Linked DNA regions of Schizosaccharomyces pombe. Changing the gene in region 1 together with any one later gene gives a genetic interaction. Each region holds a gene or a part of one and is shown in the gene's direction. Other genes may lie near its edges.

Evidence for each region.
Region 2: mutations in sgf29 (region 1) and utp4 together harm fitness more than expected from each alone (negative genetic interaction), as found in Schizosaccharomyces pombe (2 studies listed by BioGRID).
Region 3: mutations in sgf29 (region 1) and deg1 together harm fitness less than expected from each alone (positive genetic interaction), as found in Schizosaccharomyces pombe (2 studies listed by BioGRID).
Region 4: mutations in sgf29 (region 1) and lsk1 are lethal when combined (synthetic lethality), as found in Schizosaccharomyces pombe (2 studies listed by BioGRID, with this or other methods).

Annotation. Positions count from the first base shown.
Region 1 is NC_003423.3:2,418,191-2,421,872, reverse strand, and holds sgf29 (SAGA complex subunit Sgf29), read left to right. Parts: upstream 1-1,827; 5' UTR 1,828-1,891; coding exon 1,892-2,340; exon of another isoform or gene 2,341-2,441; coding exon 2,442-2,727; 3' UTR 2,728-3,135; downstream 3,136-3,682. Other genes in the region: BAR adaptor protein Hob1, read left to right, coding at 1-946, 1,015-1,083; pvg3 (galactosylxylosylprotein 3-beta-galactosyltransferase Pvg1), read left to right, coding at 3,571-3,682. UniProt on the Schizosaccharomyces pombe protein: Chromatin reader component of the transcription coactivator SAGA complex. SAGA acts as a general cofactor required for essentially all RNA polymerase II transcription.
Region 2 is NC_003423.3:3,702,943-3,708,326, reverse strand, and holds utp4 (U3 snoRNP protein Utp4), read left to right. Parts: upstream 1-2,041; 5' UTR 2,042-2,452; coding exon 2,453-4,585; 3' UTR 4,586-4,871; downstream 4,872-5,384. Other genes in the region: sac11 (inositol polyphosphate phosphatase), read right to left, coding at 1-1,595. UniProt on the Schizosaccharomyces pombe protein: Involved in nucleolar processing of pre-18S ribosomal RNA. Required for optimal pre-ribosomal RNA transcription by RNA polymerase I together with a subset of U3 proteins required for transcription (t-UTPs).
Region 3 is NC_003424.3:4,160,841-4,164,707, forward strand, and holds deg1 (tRNA-pseudouridine synthase), read left to right. Parts: upstream 1-1,878; 5' UTR 1,879-1,959; coding exon 1,960-3,312; 3' UTR 3,313-3,367; downstream 3,368-3,867. Other genes in the region: splicing suppressor Mss51, read right to left, coding at 12-1,148; dia4 (serine--tRNA (Ser) ligase), read right to left, coding at 3,438-3,759, 3,817-3,867.
Region 4 is NC_003424.3:3,952,040-3,957,391, forward strand, and holds lsk1 (P-TEFb-associated cyclin-dependent protein kinase Lsk1), read left to right. Parts: upstream 1-1,756; 5' UTR 1,757-2,431; coding exon 2,432-3,379; intron 3,380-3,425; coding exon 3,426-3,516; intron 3,517-3,531; exon of another isoform or gene 3,532-3,582; coding exon 3,583-4,261; exon of another isoform or gene 4,262-4,312; coding exon 4,313-4,376; 3' UTR 4,377-4,830; downstream 4,831-5,352. Other genes in the region: SPOM_SPAC2F3.16 (ubiquitin-protein ligase E3), read left to right, coding at 5,104-5,352. UniProt on the Schizosaccharomyces pombe protein: Catalytic subunit of the CTDK-I complex, which hyperphosphorylates the C-terminal heptapeptide repeat domain (CTD) of the largest RNA polymerase II subunit. Involved in RNA polymerase II transcriptional elongation and pre-mRNA 3'-end processing.

The DNA of each region.
Region 1 (3,682 bases):
CAATCCAACTGGTGAACTGCTCAAGATTGTTAAGGATGTAGATAAGCTTTTGTTGAAACGCGATCATAAGCAGCTGGATTATGATCGTCATCGTTCATCTTTCAAGAAACTTCAGGAAAAGAAGGATAAAAGCCTTAAAGATGAGAAGAAGCTTTATGAAGCTGAAACCGCCTTTGAACAATCTTCCCAAGAATATGAATATTATAATGAAATGCTGAAGGAGGAGTTACCTAAACTATTTGCATTGGCTCAGAGCTTCATTGCTCCCTTATTCCAAGGATTTTACTATATGCAATTAAATGTCTATTACGTTCTTTATGAAAAGATGAGTCACTGCGAAATTCAGTACTTTGATTTCAATACCGATATTTTGGAATCGTACGAAAGAAGACGCGGCGATGTTAAAGATCGCGCAGAGGCTTTGACGATTACTAAATTTAAGACCGCTAAACCGACGTATAAACGACCGGGTATGGGACCGGGTGGTAAAGATGCAACTGCTTCTTCTTCTTCTTCCTTTTCGTCAAAGCGTGAAGAAGCAGCAGCCGAACCCTCCTCTTCGACAGCTACGGATATTCCACCCCCATACTCAACGCCATCGGTTGCCGGAGCTTCCGATTATTCTACCCCAAGTGCAGGTTATCAAACTGTTCAGACGACCACTACTACAACTGAAGCAGCAGCTGCTCAATACCCTCAAGCGGCCTTTCCTCCCCCTCCAGTTATGCCTCAACCTGCTGCTGCGGCAGTGACCACACCTGTTGCTGCACCGGTAGCAGCAGCTGCAGCCGCAGTTCCCGTACCTCCACCAGCGCCTGCACCTGCTGCGGCTCCCGCCGCAGAGCATGTTGTTGCTTTATATGATTATGCTGCCCAAGCAGCCGGAGATTTATCTTTTCATGCTGGCGATCGTATCGAAGTTGTTTCACGTACTGATAATCAAAATGTAAGTACTTAAACTTAAATTTTCATTTTTTTCTTATTAAACAAGGACTTTACTAATATATATTTTAGGAATGGTGGATTGGCCGACTTAACGGTGCACAAGGTCAATTTCCTGGTAATTATGTTCAGCTTGAATAAAGCGTTTTTAAATTTACCTAGATGTGTCTTAAAATCTCGCTGCCTACTGAAGTCAATATAGAAGCTTGATTATAGGACTTGTTGTTACAGGTTACTGTTTGTGTGCGCGCTTCAACAAGTTTTACACTGCTATTCAATTTCTATCAATTTTGTCGTTCTAACTATGATGCTTAAATTTAGACATGTATTCCATACATCATCATCTCCAGTGATAATTTAACACTGTCTATGTTTGAATACTGGCTTTTTATCAACGTGTTTCCTTACTGACGTGTACTTCAAAGAGTAGCACATTTTTTGAAATGTTTTGAATAACGTAAACTTATATATATTAATTACGTTTAACTGTTTTTATTTTAATTTAACTAGTCTATCAACAAAGCTGTCCTTTCTTATATCTATACTTTAACAGTGCTAGCTAGGATTGAAGCAAAACATGATTCGAACTAGAGCTTTCATTGTGATATTGAATTTTTTGGGATTTGTAGTTTCAACAGTATAACAATCGGAATTGATGTATTCTAGCAGGAAATATACGACATACAGTATTTAGAGTCGTTGCTAAACGAGAATCGTTTAACGAACTTCGTTAACAGACAGTATTCCATGACTTAAGTGAATAGTTAACTACGTAACCTAATGCAGCAACGATACGGTAAATACAATATCGAGTGTTAATGAAATTTGTAATAAAGTAATTTGCATAGCTGATAGTATCATGCAAATCAATCTAGTAAGTGAGTTAGCACCTACCAAAGGAAATTGGATGATGAAAAGTGTTGTTTGAGAATATCAGTTACAGGATATTATGGTACGCCCCATAAATGCTGAAGAGGATGTGACATCCATGTGGGTTAAATTTCATGAAAGCCTAAATCCCATTCGGTCTAGTTTAATAAAACAAGAAGAATGTTATAAAACGGTTGATGGCGACGATAATCCAATTGAAGAAAGAATTAAAGCGTGTGACGCGGGAATTCAAACCTCTGAAGAACAGAAAAAAGAATTGGAGCATACAATGCAATCTCTTGAGATGATTATTAATGTACTCGAAAAAGCCAATGAAAAACCTGTAATTACAAATAGTCCTTTGACGAGAAGTCGTCGAAACCGAGGAACAAGCTTTACAGCAAATACAGTAACCTTTACACCTGGCATGTCTGTAGCTTTCAAGTTACCATACACGAGGCATAACGAGGGAGGTGATTGGATTCAATGTATCATTATTAAAGTGACTGGAGAAGGAGCAAAACAGAGGTGAGTTTTCAAAAGCAAATATTGTCAGTCGCGAGTTCAAATTTACTTCTAAGCTTATATGTTGATAATATTTTTTTACCAGTATATTAACAAAACCATAGATTTGAAGTGCAGGATCCAGAACCGGATGATGACGGTAATGCAGGTCAAATTTATAAAACTACAGCTAATCATCTTATACAAATTCCTGCAAAAGGAACTCCTTTACCCCCAATAAGCCCAAAAACAAATGTTTTAGCTCGATATCCTGAAACTACTACGTTTTATCGGGCAGAAGTCATTCGCACTCTGCCTGATGGATCATGTAAACTTCGATTTGAAGGAGAAGAGGAAGTTGGGAAAGAAACAGTGGTAGAGCGTCATTTGGTGTTAGAGTACAATGGTTAAAACTGGAACGTTTTACTCAGATTTTTTAGGAGGTATTAGTTAAAGGTTATTTTTATTCACTTCGATATTAGGTTCACAGCATTTAAAAAAATTGATGACATTATCTGTAATATGCATAACTCAGATTTAACATTTTTTTTATTCATTGTGATGTTGAGTTGTTCCTTATATTTTATATATTAATGGCGTTAACGCATGTTAATAACTTAAGCCAAGACAAGGGCTCATTCAAAGTACTTGCTTCTATCGTGTTGCACATCTAACATTGCTAATGTACGCCAAATCTGCTTGCTTCCTTGACATTTTGCAAGGAATCTAATTTTAAAAAATAGTAGTAACATGACAGTCTAGAAAAAATTTCAAACACCTATAGAGGAAACTGAATACTAAAACTAAGTTCATTTAACGAGTATCTCCTATTAAATTATTCATAAAAATAAACAAAATAGAAAAATTGTATATGTATGAATCCTTTGGTTAATGGACTCTGAGATAAAGAAATGTAGCAACCCGGTATATATAGTTAACGCATTTATAGTTACCAACGCTATGAGGGCATTAAGGGTTTGAGTAGCTGCTCTTCTGGTTACATTATGACTGCGTATTTATGGTGGACGTGAATATGGCACCAAGCACAGCTTTGTTTTCAGAACCAAACATTATACTCCTTTCAGAGTTATATTCTGTTTGCTGGCTCATATATTCAAGGAGTCTTTTGTTTAATTCTCAACGATCTTTAAGTTTGGTTTTATTTTATTCTTTTATTCAAAGGGACAATTAATATTCACGTCTCTCTAATTGACCTCCTGGCGCAACGTGCTCGTTTAATTAAACTCTTTCACTATGTTTTCAAATTCTAAAAAAAAAATTTTTCTTTACGTGCTAATTGCCGGTGTTGCTACTTTTTCCTTTGCTTTTCTTGTACTAAATCGTCTACAGGCCGAAGAACATTCAC
Region 2 (5,384 bases), 1.3 Mb from region 1:
GAAGATCTAGAAAACAATGTCATGAAGAAAAGGATTAAACATGCCAATAATATATAAGGGACACAACGAATAGTAAGAGGACGTAAATCTAATCTATATCGGAAGTTAACATCGGGTCTAAACTGTCCAAGTACTAAATCATAAGCATCTTGACGTGCTCCATCATAAAAATTATTTAAAATATAACGTTTAGCAGAGTTAACAAAATCGTTAAAAGCGCCTTTTCGAGTTCGAATACCGGTTCTAGTAAAATCGGTTTTCAAAGCTCCTGTACCAGAATAAGAAAGACTAATGTAATCTGCATTATCAGACCAAATGTTGCAAAAAATGTTATCAAGAGGAATGACGGAACGAAGGGGATGGGTAGCACCTATAATTCCGCATTTACGAAGTTGATTCGTAAGCACCCAGCGACCTATACAGCTTTGGACCACATTGGTTCTATCAAGACAATCCATGCAGTTGGAGCGTACAACGCCATTCTGACGAGATAAAACACGGTACTTTTGAGTGTCTAATGTAGTGTAGCCTTGCTCTTCTAACTCGGGTTGTATTTCATTTAAAAGGAGTGAAACCCGGTCCCACCTCATATGGCTACATTCTTTATGAAAGTCAAAATAATGATAATGGATATGGGGATTATCCAAACGACGTATAACATTTTCATATAACTGTTTAATAGGAAGCTCATGTCCTTTACAGTTGACCAAATTAACTACAACCTGGTCACCGTATATGGATATTTGCTCGTCGAAATGCTTTTTTGCAGCGGCTGCAGCCATTGAAGCAGAATTTGCAACCATCAATGGTTTATAGCGAAGATTATTAACCTCTGCCCAAAAAGCAGGAACACTACCGCGGGTCTGAACATGTGAATAAGTGACCTCTGACTTTTCGTCTGAAACGATAGTAATCTGCTCAGTTTCATTGAAGTTGGCGGGGTTTCCATTCTCGTCTAAACCTCTGGTAAAATATCTAGTACCGGCGCGTTGTTTAGAGCGTCGAGATATTAATGCTAACGTGATTGTTCGTCCCTTAACAATAGTGGAAGCAGAAGTGATGAAGCCGTAAATCATTGGCGTAATGAAAAGTGATACTTCAGAATGGGCACCGATAAGATCAATGAAATCTTTACTAGCAAACTCGTTCCAAAAAAATCGTTTATCACTTCGAAGAATAGGTGAGGCCTTTCCCTCATCCGTACAAGAACGTTGTAGGGAGTTAGTAAGGTCCCATGTGTACGAGAAGTAAAAAGGTCCTGTTTTCAAATGATTTTGTAACAAATTGTATAAATCCAATTCATCTTGATCGTCAGCTAGTAGGTTACGATAGGGAATAACTTCAAATTTATGAACACGATATATTTTATGTCCCAAAATTTGGGCTGCACTAGATTTTTCTGTAGCTAAAATAAGATATTTATCTTTTTTCAGCTTGATTGAACCAAACAATGTGACACTATTTTCTTTGCTGCGGGCAACTGGTTTCAACTCGTCCGGCTCAAAACTAACTGCACCACTTTCTCGGTCAATTGTTAAACAACAATCTTCTCGACGAAGCTTAAATTGCTTCTCGTTTGCTTCAAACTGAACCATGAAGAAATTTTCTAAAGTTTTTGTAGGATAGATACCAAGATCTGTGAAGTTGATGGTTGGTAGACGGCAGACAACGAACCTGCTTACTGCTGTACTGTAACATACGGTTTTCTATGCTAAGTCATGTGGTATTATCGTAGATAGAATAAATGACATTTTCACTATGATTTATCAATTACTAAATTTGCTAGTAAGTATCCATCCTCAATAAAATATTATACTACAATGATCATATTGAAGGTCGCTGAATTATTCCTAGGGTATCTGGTGTTTGTTTAAATATTGAGAATAAATATCTCATTGACATCTTAAAATGTAAAATAATTAACATGAATACTTTCAAAACTTAATTGCCGTACACATAACTGCTAACGCACTTTCACCTAAATATGGTAGATGCTCTTGGTCATGTTGTGCTAGCCTTGTAAATACAAATTTCTTCCACTACCATTTACCAACGGAGTTCCAAAGGACACTCTGAAGAGTGCTTTAGAAGAATAATACATATTTGTAATATTAATAGTAGATACTTTGATTATTCTTCACGTTGAAATCACTATACTACTGTGATCTTCGTTTTGTGGTTGAATCCTGAGGATTCACTCGTTCATCAAAATTTTCATTTTTGAAAAAAAGAGCGAAAACATAGTTGATTTATTCCATTGAAACCTTTTAAATTTTTTCTTTTATATTTTTTTCAAAAAAAGGATTACAATTATCTAGCTAATAGCCGACTTTGGCGATATTTTGGGTTTGATTTGGGAAATTGACTTTGGTGCAAAAAAATAATTTTTTCCATACATACTTCTGATTAGTTTCCTGTTCGTTCTTTCTTTTATTTAAATTTAATTAGCAACATGGATATTCATCGTTGTCGCTTTATCGACTATACCCCTTCAGCTATTACTGCAATGGCATTTTCCCATAAAAGCGGTCAGAATGATTCTATGCCTAACAATTTACTACTCGCTGTTGGACGTGCTAGCGGAAACATTGAAATATGGAACCCTCGAAACGATTGGTGCTTAAAAACTGTGTTATACGGTGGTGTAGATCGCAGTATTGAAGGGATTGTTTGGAGTACCGGTGAAGAGGAGCTACGATTATTCAGTATAGGATTTTCAACTACTATTACTGAATGGAATTTACATACTGGAAAACCATTGGTAAACCAAGACTCTAATGCAGGAGCTATTTGGTCAATCGCTATATGCGATGAAACTAAAACTCTAGCTGTTGGATGTGATGATGGAAGTTGCGTTCTATTTGACATTAGTGGTGGCCCAGGTGTCATCGAATTTAAACGAGTTTTGATGCGCCAAACGTCTCGTATCCTTTCGCTCGACTTTCAAACAAAAGATCATCTTGTTGGTGGTTGCGCTGACGGTGTTATCAAAGTTTGGGATCTTAGCACTCCAAATTCCGCTATAATTTCTAGAATGCAAGTAGATCGTGCTCGAAAAGGAGAAGCTGCTTTAATTTGGGCCGTGAAAAGTTTACGGGATGGCACTATCGTAAGTGCCGATTCATCAGGTGCTGTTAAATTTTGGAATGGAAAATTCTTTACATTAAGCCAATCGTTCAAACTACATTTGGCTGATGCTTTGTGTTTGGGTGTTTCTGCTAACGGAGATATGGTATTTTCTTCAGGGATTGACAGGAAAACTATTCAGTACTCACGCGAAGGAGGTAAAAGAGAATGGGTCAGCAACAGTTTTAGAAGGTTCCATTCTCATGATGTTCGATGTATGGCCGTTTTTGAATGTAAAAGTTTGGATGTTCTTATTAGCGGTGGTATGGATATGATGCTTGCGGTAATTCCTGTTCGACAATTTAATCGCAAGAATCACAGGATGATATCTGCCGTTCCTCAACGCCCTCGCATGGCGGTCGCACCGAAAGCAAGGCTTTTTATGTTATGGAATGATCATGAAGTACTTCTCTGGAGAATTGGGTCTCCTGGCTATAGGTTTTTATTAAAAATTGTGTTGGCTGACGAAGAAAATATTTCACATGCAGCAATTTCTCCTGATGGGGAATTAATTGCAATTTCTTCCGTTTTGAGGACGAAGCTTTATCAATTACAGTATAGCGATGAAAATGTGAAAGTTGAAACAGTTGAGGACTCCTTCCTTTCAAATATTGGTGCTAGCCTGCTTAGTTTTACTGTAGATAAGAACAAGCTTATCCTTGTTAGTAACGATTCCGAGATATTTCTCATTGAATTAAGTCGACTGGATTCTCGTCAGCTAGAAGTTTTCGAGTTATCACAACCCACTAGCAAGAAAATTGCTCCTCGTCAGCGAAGCAATGTAAGCAGCATGTGTGATGGTATTTGCAGTATAGCGGTATCTTCGGATGGAGATTATTTTGCTGTTGCGGACACAGTTGGAAATATTTTCTGCTACTCCTTGTCAAATTTAACATATTCAGAGTTACCACGAGTTAACACTTATGTTCGTGCAATGGCTTTTCGTCCAGATGTACGAGGCCGTTTAGCTGTTGCTACGGCGGGAAATCAAGTTTATGAGTTTGATGTTCAATCCCGTAAATTATCTGAATGGTCAAAAAACAATTCTACAAATATGCCCAAAGAATTTTCGCAACTTCTAGATAAGGCATTCGGAGCATTTTTCGACTCTAAACATCCGAGTCGATTCTGGATTTGGTCAGCCAACTGGGTTTCATTTTTCGATCTTAATCTTCAATTACCAGCGCCTCGCGCTGCCGGAAAACGTAAAATTGAAATGAATGCAACAGTTGACGGGAATCTGAATGACAAAAAATTGGCGAATGCTAATTCGAACGGCATTTCAAATTATGGAACAGGGGATTCTAGGTGTTTCTGGATTACTCACAAATATCGACCAATGCTACTTGTAGGCTCTGTAGGAAACTCTGAATTGCTGGTAGTCGAACGACCAATCGCCGATATGTTGATGAGTAAATCAATGCCAGCAAGCTTTTATGAGCACAAATTTGGCTCGTAAATATGTATTATGTATGAAGATGGAGGAGTTTCTTCGTACTAAAAAAAACGAAGAGGTTTTAATATGTCATTTTACGTAAAAAAAATGTCTGGAATAGGGTGGTATTATTATGATTTTGTACAAAAAGGTCTTTTATTATAGGAGTTTATTTTATTTTTATTTTTTCCGATAAAAAGCATAGATTAGTTGCTAGTTAGTTTATCAATAAAACATTTCAAGGTGACACACCCATCCACAATATGATTATGGCAATGTAGCTGTGAATTTCCAAAGTCTGAGTTGTTTATTCCCATTATCGATTGGAGCATTATGCCTGTAATATGGTTTCACTTGATTCTAGGCAGATAGGCGTACAATTTTACGAACCCAAATTTTTTGATTAATAGACTTAACACGGCGAACTAAAATTTAACCGAACGCTATTTTTGTTACACCACATAATTAGAAAATTACTCGCATGAGGATAATTAAAAATACTCTGGTAAAATTAAAATTATTGTAGAAGACAGCTTGTATTTAAAGAGTAGCAATTACCATCTACAACTTATAAAGAAAACATATTCAAAGTAACAGAATCTTACAAAGGATATATATGCAAATGAAACGAAGAAAGCTCATACATGAACCCGTCTACGTTTCTAAACTTGATTACATTTGATATATTCAAAATAAAATAAAGAAGTGAAATAAGTGATTGACGTAAAAAATTATTTTCTTGCCGATGAGATTATACATTCGTTTGTTTATTGAAATTTGTTCACAACTTAGATAAATCTGTTTAGTAGTACCAGTTTTATGT
Region 3 (3,867 bases), on another chromosome or scaffold:
ACGGACAAGAATTACTCTTTGGAAACATTTTGGACATTATAATAAAGGGCTCTGAATCCAAATACTTCTTGATTTGCGTGATAAACTTCATGAAGGTTTGAATCATCAACAGACCAGCCTAAGCTGGCAAATTTATTAACAGTTGGCAATAACAAGGGCTCAATTGAATCTTTCAAAACATTATTAAGAACTTCCAAATCTTTGGTTGTTCTTTGAGATGAAGGACTTGTGAGCCATACAGAGCAACGAGTCGATACCAAATCGTGAAGTGTCGGAATCCACGATGAAGAATAAAGTGGATGACTTATAAGAGGCATCGGAAGAAAAAAAGTATCATAGTAGGGGTCAAAAGGCTCAAAGGCTCCAACTCTATGCAAATTGTGGTAGTAATCCTGATGAAAATGAAGGCTGAGTGGGGAAGGCAAATTGGGTTGCTTAGAAGGAACAACAACTTCAGGTCCGATAAAATGCAATTGAAATAAACGACCTGGGAACAAAAAGTTCAATCCTTGTAACCAAATTGATGGTGGTAATGAACATTCTTTGGTAGCACCCAAAACGAAAATTCTAGTGGGTCTGGGATCAGTAGATTGAGCAGACAAAGGACGATGAAGCATATATCGTAGAGCAGTTAATGATTGTAGACCCTGGGGAGTTAACCCATTTTTTAAATTATAAGGAGAATTCTTGTGAAGGATAGCGCCGATTGACATGGGATATGTTAATAAACTAGTAATATGTCTAGCAGTTCTAGACGATTGGAACTTTGGGAAATCGCGGGTATAGAAGAATGAATCCCATGACAGAAGAGAAACTACTTCATCTTCTTCCATGGGTCCAGGAAGTTTGAGTAGTTCCGGCAAAGGGTTTGGTCGTGCTAAGTCATGATAGTCTTCATTAATTTGGCGTAGTTTTGGGATAAGGGATTGGTGAATCTTGTCCTGTTCCCAATGAGTTCTATTACAATGAGTAGGAAATCCAGATTCAGGACACTCATATTCCACTGACTTTCCCGAAATTGGACACCGATAGACTTGTTTGATATGCTCAGAGCGACGGCGAAGAGCCGTTAAGGGAGAACGCGATAAAGGATGGAATAATTCATGAGTTGGGGATTTCTTCTTGAAGAGATTTTTTAAAAACGACATAAGTAAAAAAAATATAAGCGAAACGTCACTCTTGAACCAAAAAACAACCTTCTACCGGTTTCAATGTAACTATAGGTAATGAAATAAATTTTTATGTCGGTGTTGCAGCTAAATTTAACAAGTATTGATTTAGGTGAACGTGTTTAGTAGCAGACGAAGAAACTAAAATTAAAAATGTCAAGGAACATAAAAAATACGTTAACAAGGCAAACTATTGAAATGCTTAGTAAAAAAAATTAACAAATTAGTTCGTAGAAGCAATTGCTTTGTTCATTAGCAACCGACATTCAGTAGCGAATTTTATTCTTTAAAAAAATATTAAGTATTGAGTTGACTCAACAAAGAGGTGATTTTCAATAATGTTGATATTAAAGAACTATCTAGTAAATCAATTGCATAACGGGAAATGCACTTTCTTTATTGGAAGTCTACAATGCAACTATAAGGAATACGAATCATCTCGAAAGTAGCTGTGTTAATCTAAGCTTCTATAATTTTCATTGCTCGTAATGTAAAGTGAACTCAATATTTTAGTAACAGTTCCAGCTGGCCCAACAAGACTGCAAACTGACCATACAGAATCCCAAAGCTGTTGTACTAATGAGCAACTAAAAATATATCTGATAAATTCTCAATGTTACATAGATGATTTATAACTTTACTGCGAAAATGTCTGCCTCTTATGACAAGCAAGTCATTAATTATCAGAGCCTTGCGAACCTATTCGTCTGCCACCTGACCTCGTCAAAGGCAGTAATTAAATTGGCAATATAATTCAGGCAAGATTTTTCAATTTTCTAAAATCCTTCGAATGCCCGCCTCCAAATATGCTGGATGGTCTCGAGACCAGCTAATATCCAGAATTTTAGAATTGGACGGGAAATTGCAAAAAAATACAAATTCACTTCCCAATAAAGAAATTGAGGGGAAAAATGAAGTAATTAAAAATAAAAACAAATTGGATAATGGAAATGAAATAGAACCCCAGCATCTGAGCCAAGAACTAGTTTTGCAACATGCGCTTCAGGACGCAAGTAGTCTTCCAAAACTGAAACCTGTCAGACCGTTTCAACTAGAAAAAACAGTTTTTGTTGCTTTTAAATTTGCCTATTGTGGTTGGAATTACAATGGTCTTGCCTACCAGTTAGAACCGACTCCTTTGCCCACTGTTGAAGGAAAGGTGTTTGAAGCGCTGTTGAGAGCTCATCTCATCACTGATCCTTCATCATGTTCCTTTAGTCGATGTGGACGTACTGATAAGGGAGTTTCAGCCATGGGTCAGGTTATATCATTAAATGTACGACATTCAGAAAGAAGACCTATCATATATTGTGATGTATTGAATCGCCTGTTGCCCGCAGATATACGTATTACTGGCTATGCATTTCCACCAGAAGGCTTTGATGCTCGATTTTCCTGTAAACAGCGTCATTATAAATACTTGTTTACTAAGGATTATCCCGGTGGTTCTCTTGACATTGATCGAATGAATGAAGCCGCAGCACTTTATCTAGGTGAGCATGACTTTCGAAATTTTTGCAAAATAGATGCTTCTAAACAAATTACAAATTATCACCGTCGAATTCTCAGTTCAAAGGTTATTTGCATTGATCCCAGTACCGGTCTTTACGCTTTTGACCTACAAGGAACTGCATTTTTATGGCATCAGGTACGATGTATGATGGCCATTCTATTTTTAATTGGTCAAAAGCTTGAGCCGGCCTCTCTCATCAATGATCTTTTGGATATTAAAAAGGTCCCTACTAAGCCAATTTATGATATGGCAAGTGAGTATCCTTTGATTTTGTACGACTGTGACTTTGATAATATTGAATGGACACTACCTACGGATAGTCCTACGACTGCTCCTCGTATCGCTAAACATACATATGAAACCATATATCATCAGTGGCATAGTCTACGTATTCGAGAGCAGATAGCTTCGTTTATGCTTGACATAGCAGATCATAATGTAAAAAGATATGGCAAATCGGAAGAGTCAAGCAGTACTATGAACGTTGGTGAAGGATTGCTGAAGCGAACAAAAAAGTACATCCCAATTCTTTCTAGACAACGTCAGGAATCAGTGGAGGTCGTCAATGAAAGATATAAACGTAAAAAAGGTTTAAAAGACAGTGACGTGAAGAGTGAAAATATTAAATAGATTGTCTTATGACAGAACAGGTTTTAGGTTAATTGCTAATTTTATTTTGGTCCAAAATATATTATCAATTTTAGTATAACCTTCTTAAATAATTAGTTGTAAGTAAGACTTATGATGTACTAAAATTATTTTGCTTTAAAAAGGTATTCCTTGTGTATGTAAGGGACAAGGGTTTCCGGAACTTTAACAGTGCCATCCTCTTGTTGGTGATTTTCAAGGATAGCTATTATTAACCTAGGGATGGCAGCTGCTGTGCCGTTCAGTGTGTGAACAAAACCCGAGTCTTTGTCATTTCGATATCGTGTGAGTAGACGCCTAGCTTGGTATTCAAGACAATTAGATGCTGAAGTTATCTCCCCGTATGATTGTCGCGCTGGCATCCACGCTTCGATGTCATATTTTTGAGAGGCCGAAGATCCCAATTCCGCAGTTGGCATATTCAAAATTCTATATTCGTTAGCATTAGATCATTAAAGTGGTATTTTTGTTAGATTTGATATGTACCTTGCGGGTATTTTTAAAGTTTCTACAAACTCTTTTTGAAAATTAACAATC
Region 4 (5,352 bases), on another chromosome or scaffold:
TTGTAAATATACTAAACGAAACGATAAGACATAGCCAAACTATGAAGGAATTATGCATATAGCATTTGAATAAATTAAATACTGAAAGCTAAAAGAGCTGCTATAGAGTACAAACTCAGATTCTTATATCGCACCTGTGATGAATAAATGTTTGAAGAAGCGATTTTTATTAACGAAAATATAACATAATAAAAGAGCTTATTTTTTTTGCTTTGCTTTAAGATATTAGAAGTACTCTACTTTTACCCCATATTAAATGTTGAATAAGAAGATATGGTTTTCGCATTTGAAAGCACAACGTCCATGTCTTTTCGATTAAGATTCATTAAGTATTATTGGTGAATATAATTGAGTGCAAGGGACTCTCTCGCTGAATTTACCATATGCAAATATATCATAAATCCACAGAAACCAGTATAGGATGTCCGTTGAATAAGGAAAATTTTATTTAAGTCTAACTCTGATAATACGTTTTGTATGTCAGTCAATTGAATATAAGTGCAAATTTTTATTTTTTTAATGACCTATTTATTGTAATAAAATCACGTTTCTTTGTTAAAATTGCACAAATTGAGTAAGCTATATAAATATTTAGAATTGAATATATACATATGAAAGCAAACATTTGGTCGTAGGATCCTTGTACACTTGAATTTCTATGATATTTTATTATTTCATATTAATTATGCTTACGTTTTGGAATTTTTATAAAAAATTATATCGTACTGGTAGTAGCCGTTTGTACGATCATCTACCTTTTTATTTTTTAATTTCATTAAACAAATTTAATTTATTTGTTTGCATTTTTGAAAAAAAAAACTTATAAAAAATCAATTATGCTCATTTAGCTTTTTGCAATGATTTTTTTTTTTTTTAAACATTTAGTTTAACTAATGAGACTATTATTTAAACAATATTGCACCAAATTTATGTCAAAATCATCACTCTTAAAATTGAATAAACAACAGGAACAGAATTCCATGAGTTATTCATCTTGAAGCTCTTGACCTAACCTTGTTCTTTCTAAAACCAAGCATTTTTGTTTAATTTTTAAAAAAATATTATTGATTAATTTAGCTTTGCAAACAATTTGCACACAATAGATTTTGAGAGGCTGAATATGAATTTTTAATGTTTTGAAGACTGGCGTTCTACTAGAACGTCCAATGTGATAACGTTATACTTATGAAAGGATGTAAAACTTCTATATACAGTAAAATAATATATTCCCTCCTACCTTACATGTAAGGGTTGCATATTATTGATTATTTTACTTTGTATTCTTTAGACTCACGGAAAACACTAATTTATGGTAGAATATTAATTTCTCATAAATAATATTATTTTAAACGATTCAAAACTAATAGAAAAGCTCAGACTTGCCTTTATCTAGTCGACATTTGATTCCTTTGGTTTACTATCGCCAATGGCAATTTCCAAGGATCCATGCGGATTACCAGATTTATCTTCATCGCTTTTTAAAATGTTAAATATGAACTTAATATAATTCAGATGAAAAGGTTTAATCCAATAATATTATATGAATTGAGAATAACTGGTTGGACTTAGTTAATAGTTAAAAGACCATCTTAGCAAATGGGGAAGAGAAAATGGCTAAGAGTTAAGCATTGAATAAATACATTATTTACTTTGATTTCTATAAAACAAGCTGATATTCATCATAGCCTCAAATTACTTATTATTTTAAGTATGGTGTGGTAAAGGAATTGAGTCGCGCGCGTTTATTTCTATTTCTACTACACACCAACAACGAAGTTTACCTATCGCCCCTTGATTAAACTAGTGGACTTGCAAACTACTTCATTCATTGTCATAGAAGAGGAAGAACTAATTTATTTCTGTCTTTATTAAATTTCGAGATAATTGGTGTTTTTAACAATGTACATTTTGAATTGATAGATCAAAGAAATCAGGAGTGCAACTAAAAGAAAATTACGGTATATTTTTTTAAGCTGCAAGAGTTGATACTTAAAAGTATTTCCTAATTTTGTGGATACTCATATTTTGTACATTTACGTTTCAATAACATTTCTGCAACCGACTTATTCACAAATCTCTGGTTAGATTTCTCTATTGATTGAAAAGGTTTGTCTCACGTTCACCCTTCATAGTTTAGCGGTGAAAAAAATCTCCACTCTGAAAATTGTCCTTTCTTCATTTATTAGATTGCATGATTTATTTCACTGGATTTAACTAGCTTGTCTTGGCAGCTTACCTTTTATTTCCCTTGTACGATTTTTTTCCGGTGAAGTTGTATTTATTGTTACATAAAAACACATTTGGCCGTACTTTAACGATTAATTTCTTTTCTTTTATTCCCATCGAATTTTCGCTCACAGATTGCGTGTAATTCTCTTCATTGTTTAGGAATATTCCTTTTTTTATTTTTTATTTTTTTTAACCCTGTTAAATGTCATACTCGAAGAGTACAATTTATCGCCGACAAGGCACAGAACCAAATAGCCACTTTCGGCGTACCGTCGAAGAAAAGTCTCAGCTTTCTGGTACAAATGAGGAGTCTTTAGGAGGCCACACCCTGTCCTCTAATGCTTTCAAAAATAATTCATCTAGTATATCGCCATCCTCATCTGCGAAGGATCCTCGAGAACAGCGGAAAAGAACATTTCCTCTCAACGATACACATTCTTCCCGAGCAAGACAGCATGAAAGACCTTTTCGTTCTCGAAAATCTAGAAGGAGAAAGGGTAAAAAGGCATTCAGTCCTAGACCTGGCTCACCTCCATCACCTTCCTTTTACCGCTCAGGTAGTCAAAAACGAGCACGTAATTTAACTACCAAGGATTACTTTGCCAAACGCTCTGAAAGCTCTTCTAGCGCCTCCGTCTCACCTATATCACCGTCCGCAAACAGAAATGATTCAAAAAGGCAAGCTTCTTCTTTTCGAAGGTCTCCGCCTAGTTCTGTACATATGAAGCCTTCAGCTTTTAACGGTCGAAAGGTATCGCGGAGACCTTCATCTTCTCCTCCCCCTATTCCTTCTATCCCTCATGAAACTACTTCCTCCGATACACAAAAAAAATCTAGCGTGTCTTCTGGCTTTCCAGAGAACAAACATGGAAAATTTCACTTTCATATACCTAATGAACGCCGATCTCGATTCGATCAACCTCCTTCGAAACGTATGGCACTCACGTCCACGGCCCGTGAGTCTGTTCCAGCTCCTCTTCCTTCTCCTCCTTCCGGCCCAATTTATACATATACATATCCAAAGCCTGCCTATGAGAAAATCGACCAAATTGGAGAAGGAACTTATGGTAAAGTATACAAAGCCATTAACACAGTCACAGGAGATTTGGTAGCTTTAAAACGGATAAGGCTGGAGCAGGAAAAGGATGGTGTAAGTATAAAAATCAAGCTCGTAACTAAATTGACTAACTTTCTAGTTCCCTATAACTACTGTCCGTGAAGTCAAAATCTTGCAGCGTTTGCGTCACAAAAATATTGTTCGGCTATTAGAAATTATGGTGGAAAAAAGTACGATTAAATACTGTCCTCATTCACCGTTTAATTATAACTAGTTCTAACATTTTAAAATTCTAGGTTCTGTATATATGGTATTTGAGTACATGGATCACGATTTAACTGGAGTCTTACTAAATTCACAATTACATTTTACTCCCGGTAACATAAAACACCTTTCGAAGCAAATTTTTGAAGCATTAGCTTATCTTCATCATCGTGGGGTGCTTCATCGTGACATTAAAGGTTCTAATATATTACTGAATAACAATGGTGATCTAAAATTCGCAGATTTTGGTCTGGCGAGATTTAATACATCTTCGAAGTCGGCTAACTACACTAATCGCGTTATTACCCTTTGGTTTCGACCTCCAGAGCTATTACTTGGAGAAACTGCATATGACACAGCCGTGGACATATGGAGTGCTGGCTGTATTGTTATGGAGTTGTTTACAGGAAAACCTTTTTTTCAAGGGCGAGACGAAATCAGTCAGTTAGAGGTTATCTATGATATGATGGGTACCCCTGATGTTCATTCTTGGCCTGAGGTGAAAAATCTTCCTTGGTATGAGCTTCTGAAGCCAGTAGAGGAAAAGAAGTCGCGTTTTGTTGAAACTTTTAAGGAGATTTTAAGTCCTGCCGCCATTGACCTATGCCAAAAACTCCTTGCCCTAAATCCCTTTTGTAGACCGTCAGCTCATGAGACCTTGATGCATGAGTATTTCACTTCTGAGAGCCCACCTCCAGAGCCAGCAGTCATGTAAGTATAAAATTTATCGTTGAATGATATTTATCTAACTTATGTGTTTAGTTTGAAAAACATGCAAGGAAGTTGGCATGAATGGGAAAGTAAAAAACGAAAATCTAAAAGATAAATGAGCCAGAAAATTTTGTCAAGGCGAAGCTATGCAAGCTGGACAAATGTTTAAAAAAAATAATCTTTATATTTCATTTAATTTCTTTGTCTCGCTTTACTGCGGTCTATCTTCTATATATTTTGTTAACACTAGGCAGAGTAACAAATTTGTCTGATGCTGGACAACTTTTTTTCATTTTTTGCTCTCTTTTTCTTCCGAAAAAGATGAAATAAGAACACTAATAGCTCATGATAATTAAATGTTCCACTGGTTTATTTGACTATTATAACTCTTTCACCTTTTAAGAACTTAGAAATCAAAGGCTTGAAGTCTTGAAATGAGCTTGGTACTGTGTACAAAAAAGATAAATTCAAAGGACTCGTATGAATTTATGATGTGGTTTTCTTTTAATCAGTCAACCGTAGTAATAATAATTTGTTTACATATACTTTTTAATAATGTTAAGGTGCAGATGTTCTCAAGAGCCTGCTCAAATATTTAGTAATGATGATTTAACAATTAAGAGAGCAAAAATTAAGTTACTATTTGAATGCGTAGCTTAAAATTGATCAAAGTATATCTACGGCTTTTACAATAGTGTGATGGCACGGATATCACATTCCGCATTGCACTGGACCACACTATAAGTCAACACTGAACTGATCGAGGAATAGGTAAGCATTCCCCTTCTCCTTTTGATCAAGAACCATCATTATAACAAAAAAAACAAACACAAAAAAAGTCGATGTCATTGTCGGAGTATCTTCGTGAATTCGCTGAGATTTTTGAGGAAGCTGCACAAGAATTAACCTCAATATTCGAACTACCTCCTGACCTGTTGAAAGATATTACTGAAGAGGATGTTGGGACTGATGACTCTTGTAATAAGAAATTCCTTGAAGTTCAAAAGCAAAAAGAAGATGAAGAAGATGAAGAAATATTGAAAGGAGTGGATTTAACGCAGCAAGATTCCGTACGTGAAAAAATCCACGAA